Linked DNA regions of Callithrix jacchus. The protein of the gene in region 3 interacts with the protein of the main gene of each other region in a pairwise test. Links are inferred from orthologs where the notes say so. Each region holds a gene or a part of one and is shown on either strand. Other genes may lie near its edges. The genes, in order: NEFL, KRT18 and NME7.

The links.
Region 1: the proteins of NME7 (region 3) and NEFL interact in binary tests that used the Homo sapiens proteins (3 or more experiments, as listed by UniProt). The two-hybrid records come from large-scale screens. The link is inferred for Callithrix jacchus from reciprocal best matches to the Homo sapiens genes NME7 and NEFL.
Region 2: the proteins of NME7 (region 3) and KRT18 interact in binary tests that used the Homo sapiens proteins (3 or more experiments, as listed by UniProt). The two-hybrid records come from large-scale screens. The link is inferred for Callithrix jacchus from reciprocal best matches to the Homo sapiens genes NME7 and KRT18.

Annotation. Positions count from the first base shown.
Region 1 is NC_133514.1:16,530,211-16,533,947, forward strand, and holds the start of NEFL (neurofilament light polypeptide), read left to right. Parts: upstream 1-810; 5' UTR 811-910; coding exon 911-1,957; intron 1,958-3,071; coding exon 3,072-3,196; intron 3,197-3,586; coding exon 3,587-3,737. UniProt on the Homo sapiens protein: Neurofilaments usually contain three intermediate filament proteins: NEFL, NEFM, and NEFH which are involved in the maintenance of neuronal caliber.
Region 2 is NC_133510.1:66,605,280-66,609,029, forward strand, and holds the start of KRT18 (keratin, type I cytoskeletal 18), read right to left. Parts: upstream 2,737-3,750; 5' UTR 2,690-2,736; coding exon 2,273-2,689; intron 1,536-2,272; coding exon 1,453-1,535; intron 785-1,452; coding exon 628-784; intron 29-627; coding exon 1-28. UniProt on the Homo sapiens protein: Involved in the uptake of thrombin-antithrombin complexes by hepatic cells. When phosphorylated, plays a role in filament reorganization. Involved in the delivery of mutated CFTR to the plasma membrane.
Region 3 is NC_133519.1:33,151,037-33,154,686, reverse strand, and holds part of NME7 (nucleoside diphosphate kinase homolog 7), read right to left. Parts: intron 3,491-3,650; coding exon 3,324-3,490; intron 1-3,323. UniProt on the Homo sapiens protein: Possesses an intrinsic kinase activity. Displays 3'-5' exonuclease activity with a preference for single-stranded DNA. Does not seem to have nucleoside diphosphate kinase activity.

The DNA.
Region 1 (3,737 bases), on a different chromosome or scaffold from region 3:
ACGTTAAAAGCATCCGCGGCTTCTTCATTCCCAGTAAAGAAATGTGAAAATCTAGAAACACTAACAGTCGGATCAACTGCTTTAAAGGTTTGGAAATGCTAAACCAACACCTGCAGTAGTGCCGCAGTTTCACGTGTGTGTGTGTGTGTGTGTGTGTGTGCGCGCGCGCGCGTCCGCACATTCCCTGTGTGTTGAGAAGCAGCACATTAAAGAAAAAGAAAAATAACGAGGAAAAAGGAAGATGAATTGCAGAAAGTGCCAGAAATAGCTATAAAGAAATTAAAACTCTTCTCCATACATACCGCAGACACACAACCTAACCTATTTATTTGTACCTAAAATCCCCTAGCGGCACCGTCACCATAAACACCAAGGGGGATCGTTAAAGAGGTCCCTGGTGGGAAAAGGGCGAGTTGGGGGCGGGGGCGGCAGGGTGTCCACGAGGTGCCGGGATACGGAAAACTAGGGTGTCAAAAGAGAGCAATAACCTGTTTTGGGGACACTTAAGGATCCAAGTGATAAGGGGTCTGGGCGGTGCAGGATGGTGGGGGGTGCGTGGGTGGATACAGAAGGGAAATGAGTGAGGGTGCATGGAATCTCAGAGAAAATCAAGGGCCTCTGAGCAGAGTGTAAAGGACGAGCGCCGCAGCTCCCCTGCCCGCCGCTCGCCCCCGCCTTCCCTTTTGCGCAGAATCCTCGCCTTGGCTGCAGCAGCGCGCTGCCCCCACCGGCCGGCGCGCCGCGATCGATCGCAGGCTGCGTCAGGATCCTCCCGGCGTATAAATAGGGGTGGCAGGACGGCGCCGAGCCGCACACAGCCATCCATCCTTCCCCTTCCCTCACTCCCCTGTCCTTCTCTCTCTCCAGGCTCCCGCCGCCGCCGCGGGCTGGGGAGCCACCGGCCGCCACCATGAGTTCCTTCAGCTTCGAGCCGTACTACTCGACCTCCTACAAGCGGCGCTACGTGGAGACGCCCCGGGTGCACATCTCCAGCGTGCGCAGCGGCTACAGCACCGCGCGCTCCGCTTACTCCAGCTACTCGGCGCCGGTTTCTTCCTCGCTGTCCGTGCGCCGCAGCTACTCGTCCAGCTCCGGCTCGTTGATGCACAGCCTGGAGAACCTCGATCTGAGCCAGGTAGCCGCCATCAGCAACGACCTCAAGTCGATCCGCACGCAGGAGAAGGCGCAGCTCCAGGACCTCAACGACCGCTTCGCCAGCTTCATCGAGCGCGTGCATGAGCTGGAGCAGCAGAACAAGGTCCTGGAAGCGGAGCTGCTGGTGCTGCGCCAGAAGCACTCGGAGCCGTCCCGCTTCCGGGCGCTGTACGAGCAGGAGATCCGCGACCTGCGCCTGGCGGCGGAAGACGCCACCAACGAGAAGCAGGCGCTCCAGGGAGAGCGCGAAGGACTCGAGGAGACCCTACGCAACCTGCAGGCGCGCTATGAAGAGGAGGTGCTGAGCCGCGAGGACGCCGAGGGCAGGCTGATGGAAGCGCGCAAAGGCGCTGACGAGGCGGCGCTTGCCCGCGCGGAGCTCGAAAAGCGCATCGACAGCCTGATGGACGAAATCGCTTTTCTGAAGAAAGTGCACGAAGAGGAGATCGCCGAGCTGCAAGCGCAGATCCAGTACGCGCAGATCTCCGTGGAGATGGACGTGTCCACCAAGCCCGACCTCTCCGCCGCGCTCAAGGACATCCGCGCTCAGTACGAGAAGCTGGCAGCCAAGAACATGCAGAACGCCGAGGAGTGGTTCAAGAGCCGCTTCACCGTCCTGACCGAGAGCGCCGCCAAGAACACCGACGCCGTGCGCGCCGCCAAGGACGAGGTGTCCGAGAGCCGCCGCCTGCTCAAGGCCAAGACCCTGGAGATCGAAGCATGCCGGGGCATGAACGAAGCGCTGGAGAAGCAGCTGCAGGAGCTGGAGGACAAGCAAAACGCAGACATCAGCGCTATGCAGGTGCGGCACCGCCCGAAACACAGGGGGGCGGAGGACTAGAGCACGGGGGAGAGTTGGTGCGCCCAGAAAGTGGGGACCAGGGGTGGTGCGGCTGCTGGCAGCTCTTGGGGATAAGGCTTGGCTCTTGGGCGCCTGTGTGGGCGGGGTGGGGCACTTGGAGGGCGTGAGCAAGGGCGCCACTGTAGTCTGGGAATGTGCTCCGTGCAGCTGCACCCGAGTTCCGCATTAAAGCTGCCCAGCCCGTGTTGGGTGGGGGAGGGGAAGATGTGGGAACTGGGCGTTGCCTGGGGCCTGCGGTGAAATTTCCTCTCTACTGACCTGTATTAACCACCAGTTACTTCGCAGCAAATATCAGATCATCTGGTTAATAAATAGTAGAGTGAATAACTCCCAATTAATTCTGAAAGGTTACGGTGACAAGCATGCTTTATGACTAGTTATACCAACCACTCCCTTCCTTTATTTAGTAGGTAGACAGGAAAATAGTTAACGTTGTTTTAGGCAGTTAACTAGGATGTTCATTTCTTTTTACTCTTTTCTTTTTCTTTGTGCAACATTTCTATTTAAAACATCTCCATCTTCTGGGAAGTAGAAAAAGTAAAATTTTAAAAAGATCTCTATTTTAAAAGATCCCCATCTTCTGGGGAGTAGAATTTTTTTTTTCTTCTGGGGAATAGAAAAATGATTTAGATACATAGGAAATATTTTAGAGAGAATAATTTTTTTCTCGTCTGGCTATTTTCTTCTGTACAGAAAGGCATTAGTTTCTTGGCATGTAACCCAGCTAAAGAAGATTTAATCAGTGGGTGAGAAACAGTTTTTCTATCATCTTAGTTTCCTTGCAGGCATTTTCTGATGATCATTAAGCTGTATTAAGTAAAGAAATAGAAGAAAAGAATTTTCTTCCATTTTGTTTGTCATCTCAGGCTTCATGAACTTGGCTATTTTAGGCAAGAAGGTTTTTAAAAAAATACAGGAAATTATTCTAGGGGAGATTTTATCAAAGGTGTGCACCTCGATTTTAATTGAAACTAGGCCTTTACAACTACACTACAGTAAAGTAATAGAAGATATTTATGCTTGGATATATTTTTTTTTTTTTGTCTTCAAACAGGACACGATCAACAAATTAGAAAATGAATTGAGGACCACAAAGAGTGAAATGGCACGATACCTAAAAGAATACCAAGACCTCCTCAATGTGAAGATGGCTTTGGATATTGAGATTGCAGCTTACAGGTGAAAATAGAGGGGCAGAGACAGCAGCCATTAAACCTTAGGAAGAAAATCAGATCCCAATTAAAGTTATGTTGGATCAGAAACCTTCAAGAATAGTCCTTTGAAATAATGAAATGTTAGTTTTTTGCTTCTTCCAAGAAGGTATTTAGATATATAAGAATTTAACCCTGTAATTAGGAGTCTTGTTTTTAGCTTCCCATTACCTTTTAAATCTGACAGGACGATTTCATGTGTTCCTGTTGTTGGTTTCTGGTCTCCATCACAAAATCCCCAGGCATTAAGTTTTGATAAATCCCAGCCCTGCTCCTGCTTCCCTTAGCCTTTAGGGTGCTCAGAGCAAGTTGTGAAACACAGGTTTCTTTTAACCTCACCTTCCATCTGCATCCCCAGGAAACTCTTGGAAGGCGAGGAGACCCGGCTCAGTTTCACCAGCGTGGGAAGCATAACCAGTGGCTATTCCCAGAGCTCCCAGGTCTTTGGCCGATCTGCCTATGGCGGTTTACAGACCAGCTCCTATCTGATGTCCGCCCGCTCCTTCCCG
Region 2 (3,750 bases), on a different chromosome or scaffold from region 3:
CAATCTGGGCTTGTAGGCCATTTACTTCCTAAAGGTGACAGGGGCAAAAGTGCAGAGGTCTCAGGGTCAGGGCTCCAATAAGGCCTTTCCTCTGTGACTGCCTCTTCTAGAAGGCCCATAGGATCAGCTGGAGAAGAGACCGGGAGAAGCCCTGGGCTTGTACTCAGAGCAATACTAGTTCTGGCCTTTCTGCTCCAGTGCATAGAAATGCCACTGGGTAGAAATGGTTTCTCCAGTGGGTAGAAATGATGGTTTCTCACTGTCCCTTCATCCACCCTCCCCTTCACAAACCTGCTCCTTCTACCATCTTTTAGGAAGCCCTGCCAAGTCCACCTGCTCTCATTCCTCCATCACCCCCAGCTCCTGGTGATGAGTAGCTGCTTCTATGTTTGTTCTCATCTCCTCTCATCCATATTATTTTGACCTGTAATTCAGGTAAGCCACAGAGTTTATTTGACCCCCTGAGAATGCTCTTTATCAGAACAGTCTTGTTAAGAAGAGCCCAGGCTGCTATTTCTAAGCTTCTTGGCAAGGCCACTTGGAAGTGGCTTGTCCTGTCTATTCTCCCACCTAGACTGACTTGTCTTGGCCCCTCGGTTCCTGGCTTGGCCAGTGGCCCCCGCTTGCCTCTTCATGGTTCTTCTTCATGAAGAGCAGCTCCTCCTTGAGAGCCTCGATCTCTGTCTCCAGCTGCAGCCGAGTGACATTGGTGTCATCGATGACCTTTCGGAGACCATGGATGTCGCTCTCCACAGACTGGCGCATGGCCAGCTCTGTCTCATACCTGTAGGAGTACAGGTGATCAGAGGGGCCCCTATCTCTGACCTTCTTAACACACACCACCTATTAAGAGCAGTTCTGTGCCCACTGCAAACCAGCAACTTGAGTCAGCAATCAGGTGGTAGTGCCTTGAGCACCATTCTTGGCACTTGGAGGACAATGTTCTTAAACAGGGTTATACAAATGATTAGTTAGGCTGGGCATGGTGGCTCTTCCCTGTAATTCCAGCACTTTGGGAGGCTGAGGCGGGTGGATCACCTGAGGTCAGGAGTTTGAGACCAGCCTAGCCAACATAGTGAAACCGTCTCTACTAAAAATATAAAAATTACCTCGGTGTAGTAGCACGTGCCTGTAGCCCCAGCTACTCAGGAGGTTGAGGCAGGAGAATCACTTAAACTTGGGAGGCAGAGGTTGCCATGAGCCAAGTTAACACCACTGCACTCCAGCCTGGGAGACAGAGTAAGACTCTGTCTTGAAAAACAAAAACAAAAACAAAGAAACTACACACACACACACACACACAATTCAATAGTTAAATGAATACACTGATTGACTCTCATCCACCCACATCTGAACAGGATCCCACTGTGAGCCCCTACCTGACCTAGCCAGGGGAGCATACCCTTCTTAGCTCCATCCCCAGACCCCCAGCTCCCTAGCCCCTCAACTTACTTGACTCTAAAGTCATCAGCAGCAAGACGAGCATTGTCAATCTGCAGAACGATGCGGGCATTGTCCACAGTATTTGAGAAGATCTGGGGGAATTGTTGAGAGAGATTGCTCCATGAATGCAAAGTCAGTGATGGGTGGGCTGAGTGTGTGAAAAGTGTTATGTGTCCTAGTGAAAACTTCCTAGTGCCAGGAATCGCCAGAGGCTCTCTTTGAACACCTGTCCATTTTCATCTTAGCCCCACCCCATTCCCTCCTTTCCTGGACTCCTTTCCTAGATCCCAACACTCTGCCCCTCTTGGGAAGACTCAGCAGTCTGGCTAGATGGCTGGCCCGCCTGCCCGGAAGTGAGCCACTACTAAAAAGTCCTATCCCTGGCCCTCTCCTGGCATTTTTTCCCTAGTGCACCTGCTCACTCTGGGCCCCCTACACCCTGGATCGGCCCCACCCAAAGAAAGGCCCCATGTTTACTCTTAGATGATTCAGCCATAGCCACATCCGCTTAACCCTCCAATAGTCCCCACGCGGCCAGAAGCCAGTGTCTCCTCCTGTTTACAGGCCTTTCCTCACCTCCCTCCATGCTGTCCACTTCTCCGTAAAGCTCAGCCCTGTCCCCTTCCCCCGCTCTCCTGGGGAAGAGCCCTCCCATGCCTAGCTTCTGCTCCTGGGGAGCCTGTGGCTAGGAGCCTGGTTGGAAATCCTGGAATTTCCCGGTGGAGTAGGGGCTGGGGTGGACATGGAATGAGGGAAAGAGGCAGAGGAGTGTATAACTGGAGGATCAGACATGGCTGGGAGTTGAGGTCTCTCCCACCACTCCCCTTACCTGAGCCCTCAGGTCCTCGATGGTCTTGAAGTAATGGCCCCAGTCTCTGACTTGGGGTCCCTTCTTCTCCAGGTGCTCCCGGATTTTGATCTCCAGCTTCCGGTTCTCGGTCTCCAGGCTCCTGACTCTGTCCAGGTAGGAGGCCAGGCGGTCGTTCAGGATTTGCATGGTCTCCTTCTCGTTCTGGATGCCTCCCATTCCTGCCAGACCCCTGGCCATCCCCGCGGCCAGGCCCCCGACCCCCATGCCGCTCCGGACGCTGGTGGAGCGCGTCACGGAGACGCGGGAACCAGAGCCCCCGGCGCCTGCATAGACGCTGGCCGCGCTGCTGACCGGCCGGGCGCCATAGCTGGGCACCCGGACGGAGCCCACGGACCGGTAGTTGGTGGAAAAGGAGGAGCGGGTGGTGAAGCTCATGCTGCCCGGGGAAGAGAGCGAGAGGACAGGACTCAGGCTTCGCAGACGAAGGTGGCGGCCGGCGCGACCCGAGTTATATCCAGAGTGAGGCCCCGCCCCCGCCCCGCCGCTTGGGAGCCCGAGCCACAGGTGGACGGTGCAGGAGCCGTGCTCTCCGCCCCGGGCCACTCCCCCGCGCTGCCCTGCCAAGCCCCCCCCTCCACCCCCCAGAGACGGGGTGGCCAACCGGGTGCTGACTGGGACAGCAGGTGTTGTTGGCCCTCGAGGCTGCTTTCGGGGCAGGAAATGACGCTATTATGCCCTTCTCCCCCACGTGGAGGAGGTGCTGGCGGGTTTGAAATTTGGGGGTCTGGTGGTGTGCGGGTGGAATGGCCTGTGAGTCCCTCTAGCTGTCCTCAGCCTGCAGCCCAAGTTATCCACCTGTGGAGGGGATCTTAGGGGGCATCCTGGAGCCCCAGGAGTCGCGGGAAAGAAAGGCTGGGAGGAGGAGAAGAGGAGGAGAAGCAGTGCGGAGCCTCACAGCTGCTGGTTAACGCACACCCCAGCGGCACCTGGCTCCCAAACACTCCCGCCTGCCCATGTTTCGTCGCACACACTCACACCCGAATCATACAGAGGTGTGCTCTCAAATGCGCGCGCGCACACGTTCACTCACCAGATAGGTGCAGACTGCCTGAAACAACCCCAGTCTCTGAGCCCCCTCCGCCGACCTCACTCCCTTGCCTCGCCTCAGTGGAACGGGTCCTCACTTCTGCACACCTGTATATCACCTTTCCTGCATCCTTGGTCAAACAAATCCTGAGCATTTACAATTTGACAAGTATGTATTCAGAACCTACTGTACACCAGGCCCAGTTCTAGGAGCTGGGAGAGGAAAGGGTGGTGACAGAAGAGATGAAAATCTCTCATGGAGGTGGTAATGTGTCCCATCTTGCATGGGACCTGAGAGGCACTCCTAGGACGTTCTTAGCAGCAACCCAGCCCTGGGGGCCAGTGCCCCTCACCTCTTTACTAGGACTTTTCTGCAGGCTGGTCCTTGCCCTGTCCCCGCTTGTAAGGCT
Region 3 (3,650 bases):
CTGAAAGTTAAAAGATGGGCTCAAGAATCTCATGTATTTAGCATTTACTATAATGTTGTTCACCTTTCTCCCTTTCATTTGATTAGATGGTTTGCTTTCCGGCTGAGATTCAAAAGGAATGGGACTGCTGAATGTAAATATGTGGCTCAGTACTTAAAATTAATGAATTCTTAAATAGGATACTGGCATTATTTTTCATTAATTTTTATAAACTTCTTACTATAGCTATAAAGCTACCAAAGTAAACATTTAATACCTCATTTATCATATGGGGAATAGCTTCCTTGTCATATAAAATTCCTCTATCATTCATGTACACACATACATATATATATTGACTCTTCATATGAAAACTTTTTAATTATTTCTGGTTTGAGGTAATAAATTTTTAGAAAGACACAAATTGTATTGTGTCTCTACAACTAAACAACAGAGTCATAAAGCATCAATTGATTACTAGCTAAAATTAAAATCAAAGACTGACTCATTGACAACTTGTAACCTTCATCCATGTGATTAGAGGATCTTTATATAGAGAGGATAGAAATGTGAACCAAATGTCAGATTTCTACAGTCGAAGGGAATTGGAAAGCTGAAGCTAGTTCATGAGTTAAATTGAATTATATTAAATTATCTGGATAACTGCTCCTCAGTTAGCTCCATGGGATCAATTTCACTGATCATCCTCACTACCAGCTTTATTACAGAAACAAAAGACTAAAGTGTAATTCGTTCATAAATTTTCCTCAACACTATACAAAACTGAGAACTAGACTAAATCAGTTATTATACAGAAGGTGTTTCTGTAGAATGCTGACAGACATATACATATATTTTCATATCTTTACTTTTTGCCATTTAAATAAAACAATACATTTTTGAAACTCTTGGGTTTCGAAGAAATTTATTTAAATCACCCAAAGGGCTGCTGGATTTTCTAACCCATATGGAGTTAAGAAAGAGTAAGAAGAGAAGATGGTGAATCAATTTGAGTTAGTAAAATATATACTGTATATATTTTCATTAACTATATGAAGCCCAAATACTTCAAATTTGTCTTCATATTAAAATAGAATTCTTCCGTTCCTCCTGTTTTCAAATCAGTCCCATTCAACAGCACCTGCCCTATTAATTAGAGGTTTAGTAGAAAGAGAATGAATTTTAGACAAAAAATACAATTTCCCTTTACTTTCTAGCTGTGTGACTACAGACAAGTTACTTACCCATTCTATAAAATAGATTTAACAACATTCACTTCTGTCAAATCAGAATTAAAATATGTAAATTATAATTTTAATGGCTATTTTATTTTTATTAGGTCAGACTCTTAACCCTGCCTCCCTAAGTCACTTATTTTGCTAGTTTAAATATTTAAAGTAGTCTTCCAGCGTAAGCAAGATGGCAAAACTGCATTTCTACCAAAACACCAAAAAATTAGCCAGGCATAGTGGTGCAGGGCTGTAGATTCACCTACCCAGGAGACTGACCTGGGAGGATCACTTGAGCCTGGGAAGTCAAGGCTACAGTGAGCTATGATCATGCCACTTCACTTCAGCCTGAGTGACAGAGCCAGCAGACCCTGTCTCAAAAATAATAATAATAAAATAAAGTAGTCTTGAACTGAGGTGTATGTAAAGTGAGTATTGTAATGACTGGCATATAGTATGTGCTCCATAAACGAATGCTACATATATTTATTAGTTTTAAATAAAGGAATTATGGTTGGCATTTCCTTAATCCCATAGACTTTTACATAAGATCTCATAACATTAAAAGATCCTTATTTAATATCTGAAATGTTTGTCCTATTTCAAAGGGAGTCTTTGGTCTTCCTTTTTTATGAGGCATTCACCACCCCTCTGATCCATTTGTGTACTAACACCATTTGTGTACTAACAGCCACACTGAGAATCCAGTCACCTCAAGAATTATAAAGTGCTTGTATAGAAAGACTATGGAAGTCACAGAAAGAGATACCATGTTATTATGAGAGTGACTCAGATGCTATGCAATCAGCTAATCATTTGAGTAGTAGATTTCAAAAAACAGTTTGATTGATTTGTTTTCCCTATTGAATTAAGTCATTTTTGGAGCCTTTTATACATACAGTCTTAACTTCTACTAATAATCCCTATTTTTAGTTACAATACCAATCACTCTGCAGGAAAAAAAAATCTCCCCAAACCATATAAAATATAAGCTACAGCAATCAGAGCCAAGAAAGATGACAAAGGAATTAAAATTTCATTTCAAATATAATTAATTCTAGTCTTAGAAACTGGAAACTCATAAATGCAGAGACTGAAAATTAAAATGCCATTGTGCTAATATTGAAAATCAATATTCGGAAGAAAAACATTATCAAAAGTCCTAGTTTTCTGTAAGTCTAACTTTCAATTGCATCTTCAAATTGTTCTCTCTTCTAATTTTTTTCTTAACCCCTTTTACAGATGACTGTATCTCTTCTAAATCAAAACTGAGAAAATGAATGATAAATGCAGTTTTGACAAACAATAGAGAGAATAGAGACACAGGTGGAGGCATCATGCTACAGTTTGTCTTTCATAGAATGAGCCACATGCAGTGGGAGGAAGAGAAGGAGGCGGGATGCCAGCCATTGGGAAACCCTTCCTTTGACATACCATACTCCAGACATTTCGATGACATCAATTTATTCACTCATTTATTTAACAAACTTTTGTGGGTCACACTCTGAATAATTTACTGTTTGAGGTATCGCTATAACAGTTTTTAGAGATACAGTTACAAACAAGACAGATCAGTCTCCCAGTATCACAATTTCTTTATATGGTTTCTTTCCTTTTTCCTTTTTACAACACTCATATTGTCATTTTTCAATTGATCAGTTGATCAACATTTCTTAGATATATATGTCTGTTAATAAAGCTCAAGAACAGACAGCATTAGTTACAAACAATCTAGACAAAATCTTCCTGGTCAACTATATCAAAGATCATCATTTGAAAACAGGGAGAAAATGGAAAAAGGAAAGAATAAATAATAGATTTTTAAATTGTGATTTATGAATTCATTCAGCTAATACAGAGAAGGTGCTTGCATTATGGAAGGAGACGTGCTAAGTGCCACAGGAGACATAAATATGATTAAGTCAGATGAGACATAAACAACTATGATATTATCAATTATTTTTCAATTAAAAAGAAAAGAAAAAGAAAGAATGAAGACAACCATTTTCCAGGTCCTATTTGTCCTCATTATGGTTAAACCTCCCAGTCTTAATTCTGCCTGACTTTGGGCTTAAAGTCAGAGAATGGAAAAAGAATACATAATTATTTTCTTACTTTTCTTTCCTACTTCCCAGCTGGCGAGCTGTATATTGATCTCCATAGTCAATTAATACCAACTGTCGAGAAAAGACATTCACTTTGTTGCCTATAAATAAATCTTCCAAGTGCAGGTTATCATATTTGGTCCGCTTTAAAAAGGTACGATGATTCTTTACATCATGCTAGAACCAGAAACAACAATATAATGAACAAAAAAAATTATTAATAAAGTTAATCTTATAAGGTAGAAATATTTCTTAATCCTGTCTTATCAAATGTAGGTTATATTCTGTTTTTTTTGTTATAAATAATTTTTAATAACTTCCGTATTTCCAAATCCAA